Drosophila melanogaster: one gene and its partners. The protein of the gene in region 3 purifies or fractionates together with the protein of the main gene of each other region. This does not show direct contact. Each region holds a gene or a part of one and is shown on either strand. Other genes may lie near its edges.

The links.
Region 1: the proteins of Syb (region 3) and Snap29 purify together in Drosophila melanogaster (affinity purification with mass spectrometry; 2 studies listed by BioGRID). This does not show direct contact.
Region 2: the proteins of Syb (region 3) and Snap24 purify together in Drosophila melanogaster (affinity purification with mass spectrometry; 2 studies listed by BioGRID, with this or other methods). This does not show direct contact.
Region 4: the proteins of Syb (region 3) and Snap25 purify together in Drosophila melanogaster (affinity purification with mass spectrometry; 2 studies listed by BioGRID, with this or other methods). This does not show direct contact.

Annotation. Positions count from the first base shown.
Region 1 is NT_033778.4:23,842,397-23,846,856, reverse strand, and holds Snap29 (Synaptosomal-associated protein 29kDa), read left to right. Parts: upstream 1-2,093; 5' UTR 2,094-2,210; coding exon 2,211-2,478; intron 2,479-2,547; coding exon 2,548-3,134; 3' UTR 3,135-3,374; downstream 3,375-4,460. Other genes in the region: CG5554 (uncharacterized protein), read right to left, coding at 268-750, 917-1,091, 1,161-1,322, 1,526-1,698; shu (shutdown), read left to right, coding at 3,663-3,721, 3,779-4,460.
Region 2 is NT_033777.3:9,760,539-9,765,209, reverse strand, and holds Snap24 (Synaptosomal-associated protein 24kDa), read left to right. Parts: upstream 1-2,059; 5' UTR 2,060-2,360; coding exon 2,361-2,999; 3' UTR 3,000-3,905; downstream 3,906-4,671. Other genes in the region: CG8478 (uncharacterized protein), read right to left, coding at 1-529, 584-1,184, 1,275-1,307; Mpi (mannose phosphate isomerase), read right to left, coding at 4,065-4,671.
Region 3 is NT_033778.4:10,248,420-10,254,611, forward strand, and holds Syb (synaptobrevin), read right to left. Parts: upstream 3,999-6,192; 5' UTR 3,863-3,998; intron 3,754-3,862; exon of another isoform or gene 3,656-3,753; intron 3,566-3,655; 5' UTR 3,556-3,565; coding exon 3,509-3,555; intron 2,795-3,508; coding exon 2,460-2,794; intron 2,168-2,459; coding exon of another isoform or gene 2,151-2,167; exon of another isoform or gene 1,950-2,150; intron 1,409-1,949; coding exon 1,332-1,408; 3' UTR 1,016-1,331; downstream 1-1,015. Other genes in the region: CG12914 (uncharacterized protein), read left to right, coding at 1-43, 106-252, 302-439, 523-741; Csgalnact (chondroitin sulfate N-acetylgalactosaminyltransferase), read left to right, coding at 4,568-5,606, 5,721-5,857, 5,918-6,192. UniProt on the Drosophila melanogaster protein: Involved in the targeting and/or fusion of transport vesicles to their target membrane.
Region 4 is NT_037436.4:24,072,431-24,077,733, forward strand, and holds the start of Snap25 (Synaptosomal-associated protein 25kDa), read left to right. Parts: upstream 1-1,749; 5' UTR 1,750-1,880; intron 1,881-5,303. UniProt on the Drosophila melanogaster protein: May play an important role in the synaptic function of specific neuronal systems. Associates with proteins involved in vesicle docking and membrane fusion.

The DNA of each region.
Region 1 (4,460 bases), about 14 Mb from region 3:
CATTTAGTTATTGTTACGCTTGCTATCGCTTAATGGATTGCAATTTTGCTTTACATAATTATGAAATACATGGGGCGCCGTTTTCTGGCTAGGATTAGAAGGAGGGAAAACAATCGGTTTTGTGCGCGAAGGCAGAGCAGACGGATTATGTCCGCTCGAATGATGCTTGGGTAAGAGGTTGTGTTCCTCTCGATTCAGTGTGTTAGTCTTTTTGTTGCCGCTTCTGATGATCGCTAAGGCTGAAGATCCGCAGGGACCCCGCTGCACCTAATCGCCTTTGCGAGGCTTGCGCTTGCGCACCTGTTCCGTCTTCTCGGGCGCAGCATCGCCGGCCTGCTTGGGCTCCGGCTTCTCTTCCTTTTCCGGCTCGCTGTCGGCCTCCTTCTCTTTAGTGGCCAGATCGCCCACCTGCTCCTCGCTGTCCTCTTCCTCTTCGTCGTCGTCCTCCTGTTCTTCCTCGTCGCTATCGCGTTGCTCGTCATCGTTCTCCTCGGCGTCGCCATCATCCTCGATCTCCTCGGTTGCCAAATCCTCCAGGCCCTCGGTCAGATTGTCCTGGGACTCGGAGAAGCTCTGGCGCTGCGACTTCTTGGGTGGGTAGACAAAGTCCACAAGGCACACGAGCAGCAGCCCCAGGGCAGCGCCCACGAAGATGGTGGCGATGGCGAAGAGGGCGTAGGAGCCCCACGTGGGCAGTCCGTATTCCTCCTGCAGGCGCCCGTTGAAGTCCTTAAAGAGTTTTTGCGTATGCTATTAGTACATGAACCCAACATACAAGACAACAGCAGAGAGCAAAGACCAGAGTAATGAGTGATGGGCGGCAATCTTTTGTGGGTCAACGGGATCAACCCGCTGATAAGCTTCCGCTTATGTCTCATGCAGTGAACCGATGCGATAATGGGCTAGGTGAACGTACCTTCAGAGTGTGCGAAAGCTTGAAGAAGTAGGACAGCACGGACATGTGGGTGGTGTCGGGCTTCTTCCAGGCGGACAGCGGTTCGATGCTCTGCCACTGCTGCTTCTTCACGAAGTAGAGGAGGGCGTCGCCATCACGGGCCCCACGATACTGCCGGAACTCGCCATCTTTTACGCTGGAAATGATTGACGTGGATTACGACGATGTGTATTTCATGGGTTGAAAAGGTCTATGTGGTGCTCACTGGTAGATGGTGGGGAGGGCGGTGACAAAGAAGCGTCCACTCAGCGAGGGCGAGGTTGTCACGTCGATTTTGGCCACCTGCACCTGGACATCCTTGGCCACGCGGGCAAACCGCTCCCAGGTGGGAGCCAGGTTCTTGCAGGCCGGGCACCATGGAGCAAAGCTGTGAATGGAGGGAGAAACATATGTTTAACACAGCTGCCGATGAGTCATCGTCGCCGCAAAGGAATGTCTGGTATTTCGGAGAACGAAAGAACCAGCTTGCCGGCTGGAGAAAGCCGGCGCACCACGCCCCTTTATGTTACGTCAGGGGCAGCGGGGTTTCATGTGGGTAGGGACTACTCAGAGCCACCCTTTCGCACTCACAACTCGATCATCCATTCGCCCTGGAGCATCAGGTGCCAGTTGTCCTCGTCCAACTCGATTAACTTGCCACCTGGCTGCAGTCCTGACTGCGCTGCTGCCGTCGACTGCGCCGTCGCCGCCAGCAGAAGCAGCGCCGCGCATGTCGCGGCCACAAAGTACGATGTGCTATGCATGTGGTGATGTTTTGGTGCTTTGCTCCGCCGATTCGTGTCCTGAAACCTGTGACGTTCGGCTGCGACAGTTTCTTAAATTAAACTAAAGCTTCCGTCTTGGTCAGTTCCAAAAAGTTACAGAAACTGCGACGCCTGCTGGAAAATTGACAGAAGTGCTGGTTCGATATCCATCGGAGATGGCAAGCCGCTTTATTCCCCGCTAGATCATCGGTAGGGGGATTCGGTCGGTATTCGCTCGTTACACGATTTTTTATTTATTAGATCAAGCTTCAAGTTTTCTTACATACAAATTCAATTTTTATCGTATCTTCAAAATCATTTTAATTATAATAACTTATTTTATTGAAGCCTCTGCAATGTCAAGCTATTTATAAGTCGATTGAACTGCATACAAATACTACATTTGTACCATCGCTATTGCAATCGATAACTCCAGACAACAACAAAGAAAATAAAAGTTTACGAAAACATAACAAAATTCGACATTTTGGAAGTTTCCCTCGCCACAAGAAATGGCCCATAACTACCTGCAGCCAGTGCACGATCACTTCGATGACGTGGACAGATTCGAGGACGTGGACGACGACCTATTCCTGCAGAACAAACGGACGGGAGCAGCCAAGCTTCCGCAGCAGAGGAGCACCAATCCCTTCGAGATGGATGACGATGACGAAGAGGAGATAACCTCGTCGCCATCAGTGGCCGCACAGCGACTGGCCTATGCTGAGAAGCGAAGGGCCATTGAGCAGCGAACTCTGGACTCTACCAACAAAAGCTTGGGTAAACATGGGGTCAATTGCCAGCCAATTAAGGGGCGTTATTGATGCGTCTCTCTCCTACAACCCCCAGGTCTGCTCTACGAAACCCAGGAGGTGGGTAAGGCGACGGCCGTGGAGCTGGCCAAGCAGCGGGAGCAACTGGAGAAGACATCACATCAGTTGGACGAGATCAGCTCCACGCTGCGCTTCAGCCAGCGCCATCTGACTGGTCTGAAGAGTGTCTTCGGCGGCCTCAAGAACTACCTTTCGGGCAACAGGGACCAACCACCCACCGCGACTGGTTCGCCCACGGGCAGTCAGTCCTCCCAGGAGGCCAATAGCAACATTAACCAGGGTGCCTGTGGCGGTGCTAGCCCCTCGGCTCCGCTATCACCAGCGGAGCGCTACGACAATCATCCGGTTAGCCAGCTGCGTGGTGATCCCAGCAGCACCTACCAGCCCCAGCGACAGGCGGCCAATCCCTTCCAGGCCCAGATCGATTCCAATCTGGAGGAGATGTGCAGCAACCTGTCGGTGCTGAAGATGCTGGCCACCGATCTGGGTGGCGAAATTGAGTCGCAAAATGAATTGCTGGATAACATGAACTACAAAATTGAGGATGTCGACTTGAAGATTCACAAGCAGAACAAGGACATGAGCAAGCTTCTGAAGAAGTGAACAAGCGAGCATTCGCATACTATTGTATTGATCATTGCTTAGAATAGCCCTCCCTTAATATACAAATCTTAGCCATACCATATCGCACGGTGAGCACTTCACAAGGCCATTAAGAATGCATTCCTCATTATGTTTCCTAGTTTTTTATTGTTACACACACCAAAACAATTCTCTCAATGGAGTGCTCGTAGTTGGAGAGCGATAAGTGTTCAGTTTTAAATAAAGATTCATATAAAAAGCAAGTATATCTGGCCTAGTGTTTCCCCGTCTGGATTGGAATACATTATACATTTTCGGAAGATATCTCGAGTTGCAGTGCTCGCGCCCTAATAAAGATATATAGTTCTTTGTTTGAATTCGATAACTTCCGGACAACAGCGACCAATCGATTCGCTAAAGCTATCAAGCAATCGAATTCCAGTTGATACCATCGCTGGAAAGCTCTTTTCTCAAACGCATCCAAAAGAATAGCGCCAACTCAGCGCATTCCGGAATTCGTTTCGTAAATATTCTGTAAATTTTGCGATAATGGAAGAAAACTTCGAACCGTACACCCCACAGTTGCTCAAGAATCCCTTGTCCTATTCGTGAGTAATAAGATACATATTAAAGGCACTCATGACCACGTGCAACTCATTCTGCAGGGATCTCGTGAAAAAGGGCGTTGAGTTCGAGGTCGACAATTCGCAGCAGAACCATGCCAGGGATCTGGGTCTCGACAGCGACAGCGACAGCGACTACGAGGATGCGCTGGACGTGGACGGCGAGGAGCTACGTTCACCGTGGACATATTCATTCGACGAACTGCGTGCGCTGATGAGCGAGATCGACGAAAACATTTACAAGCGGATCACTCGCACCGGTCACGTGGATCGGGAGGCGGTGCCGAACAAGGCTAGGGTCTCGGTTCGGTACAGTGGCTACTGGGAGGGCGAGACCGCTCCCTTCGACTCCTCCCTGCTGCGGGGCAGCAAATTCGTGTTTGAAACTGGCCAGGGAACGGTGGTTGAAGGCCTGGAGGTCGCCGTCCGCAGCATGCGTCCTTACGAGCAGGCCGAGTTTATAATCTCCTACAAGCTGCTTTTCGGAGAACTCGGTTGCCCTCCGCGGATCAAGCCCAAGGCGGATGCGCTCTTTAAAGTGGAGGTAATTGACTACTCGCTCATAGGAGATGCGAAGGGCATCGATGCTATCCCCCAAGAAGACCGCGACAAGTTTTGTGTGGTCTATCCGAAGGCTGTCGACTTGCACCTACATGGCAAGGACTCGGTGAAGCTCGGACGCTATCAGAGTGCAGCAACTGCCTTCGAACGGGCAGTGAGCTCA
Region 2 (4,671 bases), on a different chromosome or scaffold from region 3:
ACCCGAAAGGTTGTGCTGCAATTCTTGCAGCTAAAAACTTTCTCCGGAATGCTTTTTGTCGATGTCTTAGCCGGCTTTGAGGCGATCTTCTCAGGCGAACGCACGCTGGTCACAGCGAGCGACTTTCTTATGCTGCTCTTTGTTAGCTTGGAGACGGGCAAGCAGCTGCGACGGCTTAGTGACACACCGCCACCGACACTCCGCTTGCGAGCTGGGCTGTTGAGCGTTGTCTTGACCACCACCGACATGCGCTGCTTGAAGGAGTACGTTCGCGTCTCTGCGGTGGTGGTGGGCAGATAGGAGCGCCGAGGGCGCGGTAGGGCGGCACCCGAATAAGTGGAGCTCATGGACTGCCTCTTCTTGCCCGCCTCCACTTTTAATTTGGAGGTCGCTGGCTTCACAGAATCAGCGGAGATCTTTAGAGCTTTGGCAATTAGCTCAGAGACTTCGTTCACTACCTCGTTGACATGGGCGACCTCCTTTTCGGCTCCGGCTGGCGAGACCAGCATGGATACTCCTTCGTTGGATACTGTAAATGTAGATGTTTATAGAACGAAACCATATCTCAATAGTATAAACCTACCTTCAGTTATATTCTCTAAAACTACGTTCGCACTCAAGGGATAGACTTGGCTGGGAGCTGGGGTCTTGGCAGCCTCCTGCAAGGATACATTGTCCATGGTAGCATCCCCTGTTTTTAGGGTATTGGCCTTAACCGTATTGGCGGTCACGTCCACTGAACTGGACAAGGTCGAGTTATCGCCGCCACACCCCTCCGGTTGTGTGTTTTCCTTGTCGTCAATTTGGGTCAGATCTATGCTCTCCATGATCTGTGGTGTCTGCGTTTCGGTCGAAATATTGCCCTTGGAGGGAGTGGAGCACAAGGCGTTGTGCCGGTTAAGAATACTTTTGTCAAATGGGCGCAGAGGAGAATTCTGGTCCGGTTCCCCAATGGTCAACTGATGCAGATCCTTTAGGATAGTGCGCCTTAGGTCCTTATCATCGGTGTTTACCTCCACCTTGCTGTTGTGCACCTCCAGGAACTGGCTGTTCTGGGTGACCAGGGCCGACTGCCACTTGGCATTGGACAGGGTGTCCTCCGCGTCAAAGGATAAATACATGGAGACGCTCTCATCGTTTGTCATTATCGATGAGCTACGGGAATCGATCTGCTGGAAGTGAAACTATTGTTTTAGCAATGAAAATGGGATAATGTTCGGAAGTCTTTTCCCGGCAAATGGAAGCAACACCAACTGAAACCACCAAACACTTGCCTTGCCGGCCATAGTTCTGCGCGAATCGTCCATGGTTAAGTATATGCTATTCCCAATTGGCCACGAGGAATTCCCAAATTAATAAATACAAGCAATTAAGCAAAAATTCGAGCAGCTGAAGACCGACGCTGTACCGAAAAAACAAAGCGTTAATATTTCAAACACACTTTTCAACACTGCGCGCGCAATGAAGATAGCAACGGCGCCGATGGGAATGCGCGGCTTTAAATTATGAAAAGTATTGAAAAAACTATAAATTCTTCACTACTTTCAAATTGATGTTAACGCGTAGGAGACTTTGTAGAAATAAATCTAATTTTTTCGGCACACGACGAATTGAAAGGTTACAGTGACTAGATGGGAAATATTTTTGAAAACATAAAATAATTGTGTTTTATCAGACTCGAACAGGGTTCATGTCTTAGATAAAAGTGTAATATCAGACTGGATTATTAGTTTATGCATGGTAAATCGACTTTTAAACTCAGATTTAATAGTAAAATGTAAGAAAGCCCTCTTTCGTAAATAGTTTGCAGCTTGTTTTGCTTAATTTCTTTAATTGTACTTGTTGCGAACTAAGCCTAAATGCAATATTAAACTTTTAAACTCAGATTTAATAGTAAAACGTAAGCAAGCCCTGTTTCGTAAATAGTTTGCAGCTTGTTTTGCATAATTTCTTTAATTGTACTTGTTGCGAACTAAGCCTAAATGCAATATTAAACAGTGTGAACACACGTAAAAATCGCCTATCGAAAACGACATCGATACTAACATCGATTTTTTTGCAGCTCTAGTATACAAATTGGCGAATTGTTGTGTGGTGTGAAAATTCATACTTTCGCAAATAAATTATTAAACCTTGGCAATAAGTTCCTACGTACGGAGCACAAACGAGCTCATCCCCGCCCCAATTACATATCCACCGAGTTCACACACCGAACCAGCACCAAGGGTAGTTTTTCATCTCGCGCGAGTGAGTCACTGGCCAGATTTCCCCACCCAAAAAAAAAACAAGACAGCCGTCTTGCCTCTCAACCACTTGCCAAGCTCAAGTTCAAGTGATCTCACCAGATAGATAGTTCCGAAATGGCCGCCGTGGAGAATGCCGAGCCGCGCACTGAGCTCCAGGAGCTGCAGTTCAAGTCCGGACAGGTGGCCGATGAATCCCTGGAGAGCACGCGTCGGATGCTCGCCCTCATGGACGAAAGCAAGGAGGCTGGAATCCGCACGCTGGTGGCCCTGGATGACCAGGGCGAGCAGTTGGACCGCATTGAGGAGGGCATGGACCGGATCAACGCGGACATGAGGGAGGCGGAGAAGAACTTGAGTGGCATGGAAAAGTGCTGTGGCATCTGTGTGCTGCCGTGGAAGAAGGTGAACATCAAGGACGACGGTGAGAGCGCCTGGAAGGCCAATGACGATGGCAAAATCGTGGCCAGCCAGCCGCAAAGGGTCATTGATGAGCGGGAACGCGGCGGCATGGGTGCACCACCGCAGTCCGGCTATGTGGCCAGGATCACGAACGATGCGCGTGAGGATGAGATGGACGAGAATCTCGGGCAGGTGAACTCGATGCTGGGCAACCTGCGCAACATGGCCCTGGACATGGGCTCCGAGCTGGAGAACCAAAACAAACAGGTTGATCGCATCAATGCCAAGGGCGATGCCAACAACATTCGCATGGACGGCGTGAACAAGCGCGCCAACAATCTGCTCAAGAGTTAAATATGCACAACGGCCACGTCCCGAAACCATAGCGAACATGTTAGTCAGACACCACCTCCATTTCAATGTTGTTAGGGAAAGAAACCAATGTTGTGGGCACAAACCGTAGCTGGTGGTATTGCGTTATTGATACCATATATTATACACATATACAAGTAGTGGCAACTACTCCTGGCAAACGCAAGCGTAACAAACCCATCTACTTACAAGAACTTTAAGCCGCCGAGCCGGATGAACTAACTACTACTTTCTAAAACTATATATATATATATATATATATATATATATATATATATATATATATATATATATATATATATATACATATATGCGAACCAACATACTAACTACTTACTATTACTACACTCGTGTACAAATGGCAACCAGATGGCGCCGGAAACAATTTTATTATGAGATTTACCGTATATGATGTACTCTGTTTTTGGTACAAACTTTTTGAGCATTTTACCGATCTTTGTGAAATCAAACCAAGCAACTGCTGAGATGGATAAATGTGAATTAATGTATTTACAATTCGTAGAACCACCGCATCCCGCACGGGCACCGAAAAACCAAACAAAGACGGGCGGAAATTATGTATAACGTAGCCAATTTTATGTTCTCCATTGTTAACCCTTTTTAAGTAGGCCATGTATTTGGGCATTTCGCAAGCCCAGCACAGCAGTCCAAGCACCAATTCTATTGAATTACACTAGATTTGCACTCGAACCTCTTGCTTCGTACATATGAATAATTTATCCCCAGTGAATGTAACCCCGATCGAGTTACGTAGCTCTAGCTTAAGTACTTGAAATTGTTGGTTGCAATTATCGCAAATATTTAAGAAACTACCTGTTTGTGCGCAAGATATTTCTCGTTAATTATTAAATGTACTATGGAACGAGTATAGCCAATTGATTAGATAACTTATTTATCGCTACTATTGCCACTTTAGCTTACATTCTTAGCTCTTAATTGCAAGTAAATATAAACAAAATAATTCACCACCAAAACGTGTTAATGGATTTATTGCACTGTACAAAATATTTCGATTAACTGAGAATTTTAGGGCACTCGAAAGTAGTTGCTGGTTGCTATGTAGCCGCTGAAGTCCTCGTCGCAATCGTCGGACTGGGCGAATTCGATTTCCGGCGCCGCCTCGACGGGAATGTACACAATGCTGCCGCGGGTTACCAAGATCTCCTTATCTCCCTGCTGGGTTTTCAATTTAAGAATGCGGGATCCCTTTAGAACTATCAATATGGAGCCGAATGCTTGTATCTCCAGCTTGTACGACTCCAGCGAGTGTTCGATATTCACATTTATCACTGCAAAGTCGGATACTGGCGGAATATAGACCTGGACCTGGTCATCTATGCGGTACGGAATGAACTCCTTGCGATCCTTATACGAACTTTCGAAGATCACAGATTCCAGCAGCTGGTCCACATCCTTGTACTTGGGCGTTAGGCCCGCCCGTATCACATTGTCCGAGCAAGCCATGCACTCCACACAGTCGCCGTCCAGGTAGGCATGAATCTCGTTCGCGCCCAAGTAGATCGCCTGGCCGGGCTGCAGGCGGATTAGGTTGAGGAAGAACAGGGACAGTACGCCCACATCGCCGGGGAAGTCTTTGTTGACCTTGGTGAACACCTCAAGCAGATCGTTGGAT
Region 3 (6,192 bases):
TAAAAAGCCTATGTGGGTGCGGTTATTGGCGGGCCTCTGGACGGTAAGTACATGAATGATCTCAACTGATGGTGTCCATTTCGAATGACCTCTTTTGATCTGCAGTACGAGGTGAACACCATGTCGATCATGAAGCCCGCCAAACGTGCCCCTTATATAAGCCTCATCCTGTCAATCTTCCTAACATTCCTTATGATGATCATCAGTGTGATATACGGAAATAGTGCCATCAAACACAAGAAAGGCCTTTTCGTAAGTGAAGAACTTGTTGACCCGCCGACACTTACCTCCTTTACCACAGACTACCCGGCATAAGGTTATCCTGTGGAGCGAGCGCATATTTGTCCTCACCTGCTTTGGCATCATCGTGTGTGCCGAGATGAAGCGTGTTATCATAGAGTTTCCAACCCTGCTAGTATACACCATTCTCTCGAGCGTGGTAAGCCTCAGGGAAACGAAACGATACACCTACTTTCCCATTTTTAAAATAACGACACAGTATTCCTCCAATTTTGCCCACAGTTTGTCATAGTCTTTGGCGCTTCCATGCGAAAGCCGAACTTCTACCGCCAGGAGTCGACCGGGGACTACATACTGATCGGCCAGCTGTACTACCTCAACTTTTTTGCCCTATATATGGGCTATGTGTGGACGACAGCCTCGTTTATAGAATTGATGGGATGGCGCGCGGACATTCATGATATATTCGTGTACCTGTTCTATCGGAAGAACATCGAATGAGTGGAACGCATGCGTGGACTATCGGAACAGCTGGGACAGAATGTTTATGCGAGACGATTCAGTTCCTGCGGCAATTGGTCAGTGCCTCGATGTCGATGGGGCAAGTTTGTCTGGGTGCCCGCGACTGCTGTCGTCTTGTTTCGATTCGGTTTGCCGGAAAATCGATAACTGTTTCCATGGCACGCGCATCTTAAGCAAAAACGCTGAATGTAAATAAATGGCTCTGTCCGCGAAACGTTTCCATAAAACTTCGGTGGACTTGATGGGTCCGGTTAAAGTGTAGGTGGCATGATGTATTTTCAATTGGATGATATACACGTATATATAATTGTATATAATGCAATACACATTAATGGGACCTCTGGTCTCGGCTACGACACGTAAAAATGTTAAGTTTAACATTAAGATTTAATAATTACATTCTGGTTAAATATATGCTAGACGCAATTTTAGTAAGTTATCCTTTTGATTTTCTTCATCTCCCCTTCTCTCATTGCGCGAAAAGACCAGAAAGGTTTCCGTCCCAGTTGTGTTTGTTTGGTCCTTTTCCATTTCGTATCCATGTGTTTACCTCACTCCCTAGGAGGCCTTTAGTGCGGCGGTGCTTGGGTGATGGCCTTGTTTCCTCCACCACTGCCGCTGTCACTACTAGACGGCCAAACGGACACTAAAAAGGGAAATACGCAGATATTAGAGCTATGTTTATATCAATTCAACGAGATATGAAAAGGATTTCATATCCTATCTCGCATTTAAATGAAATCGCGGTCTTTTTAAGTAAAAGTTCTAACCACCCAGCACATTGTACTGAGCGTTTTGTTGACGAAAGATTTCTTCAGTTATTTATTAATTAACAACTTTTAAAGTCAGATTTTATCTTCCCGCTTACTATCTTACATACCTTTCGATGTCAGCACGGATTTCGTATTGTCATTCTTATTTAATACTTTTTACGCGAGTTTAATTTGAATAAAATCGAAATGACTTTTTAAAATGAAATTTCTCCATAGAACAGAGCCCTAGCCCCAACATTGCACTGTAGATATAACCATTTTTAACTTCTTAATAGCTTTGCTGAAGCTATATACATATGTATGAACTTTATAGTCTACACACGTATGACATGGAGGTTCTAATCTTCGCACACTACAGACTAAACAAATATAACGATAATTAACACTTAGGACAGGCACAAGAACAACAATTACCTTTAGAGCTTTAGAGTTGCTTAGCTTAAGACTTTTATAAAATATAATAAACAATTTAAGGAGTATATAGTAGGAGCCAGTACACGTACACAAACGTGTTAAACGATTAATCTGAACCTTAACTTTGCTGATTGGGAAACGGAATTACATGATTTTTGTTGGCTTTGCTTTTGTTTTTCTGTGAGTGTGTGTTTAATTGTATCAATTGAAAAGCGACACTGCAAGTAAACAGAAATTCACAAGGGGTTGTCATCAGTACGAGTAGGAGTATCTGTTATTGGATTAGTTAGCTGCAAGCCACATGGACAAGTTGTTAGGACCGAAACCACAGGTTGAGCAAGATTAGGGCGTTTGCAGGGCGTCGACTTGCGTTATAGATATAACAATACCAAACCAAACCAGCCACCTAGCTACACTACTGATCTTTAGCCTGATCGAGAAAAACCGCAACCAGAAAGAAGCACCAGCAAGAGGCAAAAAGCCGAAGCGGTATAAAATCGGTTAGCTTACCCAGAACGATGATGAGCAGCACAACGGCTATCACGCCCAGAATGATCATCATCTTCATGTTGGCCCACCATTGCTTGCGCTTCAGCTTGCCGGCCTGCTGCTCGAACTGGGATGCTCCCTGCTCCAGCTGATCCGCACGCTCGCCCAGTTCCGATAGCTTCTGGTCCCGCTCCAGGACCTTCTCCACGTTCACACGCATAATCCCGACCACCTCGTCCACCTTGGCTTGGGTCTGCTGCAGCTTCTTCTGGGCTGCATTGTTGTTCCTGATTTGATGGTCACCGAATTGATTGTAGTTGTCATTCGCGTTCGGCGGTGGCGGAAGTATGGGAAAACTGTACAATATTATGTGTGTTTGTGGGGGTTGCTTACACTTATTAAGAGCAGCAGATGGATCATCAAGCTGCAACGCACAAAAGCACGAGTCTTGGTATATCATGCCATCGTTATCTATGCCAATTCACCTTTCACGTTTTAATAATGGGACTTGTGTCCTATAAATACTTTCTTTCTTCTTAAATTCGGATAGACTAATAAAACTTCACAATCTCAAGTGCTGTTGAAATTCCATTGACAAAAAAAAATATAAAATGAGTAATATTCATTTGTTTTTCATAGATGTTAAATGAAACATACTTAAGTATGTTCAGTTACCATTTGCGATAAAGTGATTAATAAGCAAATTCTGTTTCTGATTATAAGCTACTTGCAAATGTTTTACAATTTAGAATCGAATATAATTAATACTTTTTTGTTATTCGAGTTAATTTGCCATTTCACATTAATATTCCATCTAAGATAGCAACTGACTTTACAATATCTCAACTTAACTGAATGCTTTTAATGACCCTAATTGATTTCAAACTACAACTGAAGCTACCGCTTGGGCAGCAGCATGACGTTTACGGTATTCCAATGTCCGAAAGTGAAGTCCGAAGACTTTACTTCCGGTTCGCTGTGGCCCATATGACTCAGGTGACGTCACTGTATGGGATTTTCCTTGCTTTTGTGCGCTGAGCCTGTTGATTCGATGGATTTCCACCACTTACTCGTTGTTGTTGGATCCCGAGGGGGAGGGGGCTTCGTTGTTCTCCATTGTGAATTTGCTGCGGAAAGAAAGCGAAGCAGAGAAAGGCCTTTATTGGATGTCTGGTTCTTTAAATGGGGAGAATGCATGTTCCATCACACACACACACCCGAAATTGTTTAGATTACAGGGCCGAAAAGAAAAGAAAACAAAACGCAGCACACGCCTTATCTATTCGGCCTATGAATCACTCGATTTATAGGAATGCCATCACCTTTGCTCGAAAAAAGAACTTGTTGCATGCCGCACTGCCAACAAACGCTGTTTACATGGGTGGAACGCCACCCCCAACCACCCACCACCCCCGAGCACTCACCTTGACAATGTGCCTGTAGAATACTGCTGTGTATTTCGGGTTTTCCACGGAAAACTGCGGCTGCTTTTTAAATAGCACTATTTTTTTTTATAGAAATATCAGCTTGTGATCAGTGTGACCGTTGAACTATTAGAGCTGGAACCAAGCCCGATACCTTATCGATACTATCGATGTTTCCTGAAAACCCCTTGCAAATATAAAAAGATAATACTTATCTAGCTTATAAAAAACATGAATTGGTATATTTAGTATGTGTATCGGCGCACAAATTATTGTTAACAAGCACTTGCATTCCATTTTTCTTTAGTTCCTTGCAGATGATGTTTGATTTCAAATCAATGTCTTATATTATTGTATCTTATTTTATTACTTAAATTACCAGTGCCGCAAGCCAAAATGAAATTTTTGTTTGCTCTTAACTGATTTATCTTTAATACTTTTACAAAAGATCAGCGAAAATTATTAATAACGCACTGTTGCCTAAATAGCAGAGACAAAAACCAATAAACTGTTCTACCGAGCCATGTACATGTATAATATGTAATAAAAATGTAGAATTCCACAGCAATGTATAAAATTTGTGATAATTCGTTACTAGTTTTTTTTACAGTCTCAAATGTGTGTTTGCATTTTACTATTGCACTTAGATAACTAATTATTTTATTATTTTCAATAGGTTGAAAATTTTGTAAGAAACTATGGAAAATGCATAACTCCCTGGTGACCAAGTTGCTGCTGCGGCTTTTGCTGCTCTTCGCCTTGTTGACCGGCGCCTCCATTGTGGTGCTCACAAAGTGCGGATTCGATGAACTGACGACGAGGGAAACTCAAGCCAATAATCCGAGTGAATCCAGCGGATTCAGTTACACCTTAAGCGAACGAGAGGCGGAAATTGAGCGGCTGAAACAGGAAGTCCTGGCTCTCCGCACTCAAATCCTCTTTCTACAGAATAATCGCAGCACTGCCAAGCCATCAAATGGCAGTCTTCAATTGCAAGAAACCACCGCGGGGCCACCAACTGCACCACTGGGTCACCATTACGACTGCAGCAGCTATATTCGCAAGCAGGTGGGCGCCGCAGAAATTCTGCATGGACTGCCGCTGAACAACGAGTACGAGCTGATACCCTACAATCACTTCACCTTCACGCGAGTATATCCCATCGACTTGGGCCTGGGAAAGCGCGTGGTGGAGAAGCCCATCGGTTATCGACGACGTGACCTCATCGAGGCGGTAAACAAGGCGCTGGAGAGCCTGAACAGGAATCACTCAGCGAGAATACGAGCCAAGGGAGCTGGTTCTGCAGCGGCTTACGCCTCGGATGTGATCAAATACACCCTGGATGACTTTATCGAGGGCATATACCGCAACGAACCCACCACAGGCACCCAGTACGAGCTGTACTTCCAGAGTGTCAAGCACCAGGCGAGTCCAGTGCGGAGAGCCCTGGTCATGCGACCATTTGCTCCTCTGCAAACGGTGCAGCTATCGGAGCTATCTTCCAGTGTGGATAATAGTGGTGCCCCTCCAAGTCATAGTCCGCCCATAATCCACGTGATACTACCGCTGGCTGGACGTCTGCACAGCTTTCGCGGCTTCCTGCAGATGTTCGCCAAGCTAGAGGATCGTCGCCTGGAGCTTATTGTGGTGTACTTTGGAACCAGTGGATTGGAGCAAGCTAGGAGCCTGGCTGGACGATCCCAAAGGACTCAGTTTTTGGCACTCAATGAGACTTTCAGTAGGGGTAAGCACGGGTTTCGTTTATTAATATTACATTTGTTTCGTTCATAATACATATGCAAGTTTATAATGCATTACAAATAATATTGGTAGTTAATAATAGCCATTTTGCTTATAGCCAAAGCTTTAAGACTGGGAGCGGAGCACATTCAACCCGCTGAGGAGGACGTGCTGCTCTTCATGTGCGACGTGGACATTATGTTCACGACCAAGTTCCTGGAGCGTTGTCGCTGGAATGCAGCGCCTGGAAAGAAGGTAAATATATCTGCTATTATTTAAATTACTAATACATTAACATCTATTTTCAACGCTTAGGTCTACTACCCCGTCGTATTTAGCCTGTACAATCCGCATGTGGTGTACTCACTGCAGGGCAAGCCCTTGCCCAGCGAAGAGGAGCAACTGGTGATATCGAGGGACACCGGTTTCTGGCGGGACTTTGGCTACGGAATGACGTGCCAGTACCGCTCGAACTTCCTAAAGGTGCGCGGTTTCGACGAGGAGGAGATTGTCGGTTGGGGCGGCGAGGATGTGATGCTATACCGAAAGTATGTTCGATCAAAAATCAAGATAATCAGGGCCACCGACCC
Region 4 (5,303 bases), on a different chromosome or scaffold from region 3:
AAAAAAATTATTAAATGTTTATTTTTTTTTTTAAGTCAGATTGTATGAATAATAAGTACCATATGTTGCATCTCTGAGCAAGAAATTTTTACTCTTTCAATGTAACGGTTCTTTTTTGTTTTTGGGCACTTGCTGCAAAAGTGCCCAAAATGAGGCGGTAACAAAAATAGCACTGACCACGTATTTGCTGAATAAAATTAATAGGGGTGATTACTTTGGTTTTTTTTCGACAAATTTTGAAAAACGGAGTTGCACTAAAGGTTTTAATTGAATTTTTTCCAAACGAAGACCAAAAATTCTCTAGTCATGGGTCGCGGAAAGCATTGTACCGTCGAAAAAAGAAATTTGATTAAAAACATGATCTCTGAAGGTAAAACCTACTCTGAAATTGGTCGCATTGTCGGTTGCTGAAACAAAATGATCCGCAAAGCACTGCTGTTTGTCGAAAAGAACGAAACATGGAAGAAGGAGCTTCAGATAGCTAAAAGCGTGGAAACTGTTCGCAAACGCTTAGGACAAAGCAACCTTAATGCGTGCAGCCCCAGAAAAGTCCCGCTTTTGACTGTTAAGCATGTGGCAAAGCAATTTGAATATGACAAGATACACAAGGACGGGCCTGTGGAGAAGTGGCGAAACATTTTTTGGTCAGATGAAAGCAAAATTGTGTTGCTTGGTGGGAAAGGCTCTCGGTCTTATGTTCGGCGTCCACCACGAACTGAATATAATCCTCGTTACACCTTTAAGAAATTTAAAAATTGTTTAAAAGGGTGGGCGTTTTGTTGTTGAAAGTGGGGGGTGGGCCACAGTGTTACGTTGCTGTTTGGGTTAATAGTTTCATGATACGCACTTTGAAAAATGGAAAAGTCACTGTCACTATCTATCTATCACTATCTATGTATCTGTAAATAGAAAAATATTTTATAAAAAGTCTTGAAACTATTAACCCAAACAGCAACGTAACAGTTTTTATAATTAAATTAAAGGACATTAACTATTACGCTGAATTCAACACATAAAGGTATCGAAAAAATTATACGAGTTTTTGAAAAAACCCACTATTTTCCCGACTATAATACATATATTCAAAAAATCATTGATGTTTTCAAAGTCTGCAATCTTGCAAAAACAGTACGTAGACCAACGAAACTTATTTTTAAACTCCAGAGACAAAAAACTGAAGAGAACTTTACGTTATTGATATTAATGCTAGACAATAAAGAATATTTATCCTGTATTGACGTCTACTCAAAATGCATCCCCTATAAAAACAAAGAGATTGGTTGGAGATTGTTTGTCTTTCAAATTTTTACCAAACACTGTGGCCACGTTCCTCCTTTCACCTACACAACGCCCAAAACGGTAACGCCCACACTTTCAAACATATTTTTTTAAATTTTTTCTCATTTCATTCCCCAATATCTATCGATATCCCATACAAATGACGAAATTTCGCGTTTGCATTCCCTCAAGCTGAGTAACGGGTATCTGATAGTCGGGGTAACCAACTATAGCAATCTCTCTTGTTCCATTTCCAGACTATTACATCTGTTTATTCGAATTCGGAATATCATCAAGAGTAGCTGGGAGTATCATATCATCAAGAGTACGGGTATTAATTAGTCACGGGAGTGGACGGTATTTGATGGTCGAGGAAGTGGACTATTGCGTTTTCTCCTGGTGGGAACAATATAAATAATACACTTAAACATTCGTATAAGCCCTGCGCGCGCACGTGTTTAAGGCTAAAAGTGTCATAGCTGAACCACCTGATTTTGTTTCAATTTGGTGTTTAATATTTATACAGTTCTGTGTGTTTTGGTATCAAAAGATACGGGAAAAATATTCGTTTTTATTCTTCTAACAGCTATTTAAAAAGTCAGGTACTACAAAAGAAAATGCATATATTTTTTTGTGTACATCGCAAGCAAAACACGGCCTAAAAATGGCATGGCATAAATTTAGCATGTCAAAACTATTTGTAAAAACAGTATGGACTAGTGTGATTTCGATGGTTTCTTTTATTTTTGAAATCTTTCGCAAGAAAATAAATCGATTTGTATAATGTTAAATGGAAATACAGTTTAATAATTGGTTTTTGATATATGACCACGAATAAAAGCTTACAATAATAATCAAAAACTAGAGAGAATGCTATAGTCTAGTTACCTGACTATCAGCTACCCGTTACTCAGCTAGTGTTAATGCGAACTCCAAATTTTTTCTTGGATATCGATAGATATTGAGGAATAAAATGAGAAAAAATTTTAAAATTGTTCCAAAGTATGGGCCTGACCGGTTCGGCGCCTTTAGGGCGTTAGATAGAAATTTACAAGACTAATAAAAACGCAAAAAATATCAACACATCCTTTAAAAGTTTCTGAGATCACGACATTCATACGGGCAGACGGACATGGCTAGATCGACTTGGCTATTGATCATCACTACTCGTAGAGTAATTTAATAATAGTAATATTTTAATAATTTTATTTGTCTGGTAAATTTCTATCGATTTGCAAAAAATCTTTTTGAAACGCCCACTCTAACGCCCTAAAGCCACCGAACCGGTCTTGGCCCGAACCACTTTGGACCAATTTTTAATTTTTTTCATTTTATTCCCCAATATCTATCGAATTCCCAGAAAAATGATGCAATTTCGGGTTTGCTTTCACACTAGCTGAGTAACGGGTATCTGATTGTCGGGGAACTCGACTATAGCATTCACTCTTGTTTTATTTAACTACGATAAATCTGTATTAATTTCAGTTGCTATGTAGGTATATTTTGGTTTCTTATATTTTTTAAGGAAAGACAAACACATGCAAGAAATACATAATAATTTAATTTAAATTACAAGCACTAGAAAATCTTAAAAACAATTTGCAAATTAATTACAGTAAAATAACATTGCTGTTAAGCTTAAATATTGGTAAAAATAAAATAGAAAGAAAGCGAAAAACGCATTATTAATGTAAATTTATACTTATTAAAAAAACTCTAATACAATCCCTCATAAGAAAGCCATTACTAAATATCTTAGATACCAGAAAACATTGACGATCGTAACGATCCTAATTTAAAAAAGACAGAATGCTAGAGCAGAGGTTAACGACCTCCAGATACCCGTTATTTAGAGTGCGCGCTTGAGTATGCGTGGCTAAAAGTTTTTTGGCATGGAAGAAAATATTAATCTATCACTAAGGAAATCAATTCACTTCGACGAAATCAAGGCAATCGCAAATGTAGGATCATCAGAACTGCAAGCCCAACTACTCAATGGCGAATGCCTTGTTATCTCCACCCCGTGGGAAATCACAACTTTCAATACAACAAGTATGACCACATCAAGCATATCCACTGCATATCCACACATATCCATTTCACCGATCTCCCCGGTTCTGCCTAGAGCATGCCAAGAAGTACGCCACAAAAGCGACTCCATTCTTTTCCCCAAAATAACACATGGAACACGCCTTTGCAGTCGCTAAAGGCTTATAAACGATTTGTGCGGTTATCGCCCTGCAGATAAGGATGCCCCCCCACTTCGCAAGCCGCGATCGATCTTGGCAAACTGAAGCCTGCAATAATTAATACACCTGCTCCCGGCGCACCCCCACCTACTCGCCGTCTACCTAAAGTACTGCGGATCACGGTCCCCGGCGTGGTCAACTTTTTGACGTTCTCCAGCGAGCTGGACGCCCTCATTGGAGATTCATGCACAATACAAATATTAAATTTATATATATAAAATAAATATTAGTTAAAGATTAGTGATTTACTGACGTGATCCTGCGGCCTCATGATATCCAAATCAAAGGAAACAAAACCGGCAAAGGTGAACGAATTGATGACGAAACTAGGAAATGATGAAATTGATACTGATGTTTACGAAATATTGGATCAAAACGCAAGCACAAGTATGCAAACTCAAATCAATGATTTAAAGGAGATGCGTGGAGTTGCAAAAACATGTATGAATGCACAGCAGGTATATCGATCATTCAAAATCATTCAAATCGGCATTCGCACTTGATTTTCCAAGTGTGATGAATACAGCCGATGTGCAAAGAGATTTATTGCGACGATAGCGACGCAATAGCGAGTCATTCATCGAATACTTTTATGCGATGTTATGTATCGGACGACGTGGGAGTCATCAATAAATTCATATATTTTCAGCGGACTTAATTCACAAGAACTCACGAAAGCCTTATTAGCAATGGACATACGCACTTGAACAAGGTAACAGCAATGAAAAGCAACAGCAAAATGAACGGTGTTCCAAATGTTCTAGGATTGGGCATAATGAACAGGATTGCAAGGTGAAAACATCGTCAAAGAATGCTCAAGTGCATGAGGCAAAACATAAGGAGTATCCGCCAATAGTAAAAACAGTTCTGATTGGAGATCAAAAGTTTAAAGCGTTCATCGACACGGTCAACTCAACGTTAATACGAACATTAACAATCTGTTAAAATCCTATGAAGAATGTTTTGAAAAAGATTGGATCGAAAATTGGCAGGTGCAAGACGACGACGATGGTTATAGTGGTATCCATTACGAGTGCCTATGCGTGGACTACCGGGCTTTAAACGCTCTATTTGATGCCAATCGTAGAGGAACAATTGGCCCTGCTATCCGGAAGCATATACTTCAAGACGCTGGACCTCTGGTTATTACCAGGTCCCGATGGACGAGAAAAGCAAGCATTTAACGGCATTTATGACACCAAGTGGACTGAATTAATTTTATGTGATGCCCTTTGATCTGGTGAACGAACCTATGGTCTTTCAGTATGATTGCTTATCCAATGAGCAATTTATTGAAAAAGGATGTGGAGTTCGTATGGGGAGAAGATTAAAGGAAGCCTTAGCAACGAAGCCGGTGTTCACCCAGTAAAGAAGTACACACTGATGAGAGTAAACTGGGAATAGCAGGAATTATGCTCCGACGAGAAGAAGACAGCACGAAGCCTGTATTTTATTATTGCTGGCTATGCAGCGATGCAGAGAGAAGATACTCATGCTTTGCGTTAGAAATATTAGCAATTAATGAGATTCCGTATATATTTACTAGGATCTCTTTTTCTGGTGCTGTCAGATTGCTACGCTGAAGGAATCAACAGAGCTACTGCCACCAATAGGAAGATGGTGGGTCAAGCAACAAGAGTTTGATTTCACTTGTAAATATCGACCAGAAGCGGATATGCCACACCTGGATGGCATGAGCAGACAACCAACACTGCCACAACGGGAAATATCTCTAACAGTAGCAGACAACGTTTCGATGAAGATTAGGCGTATGCG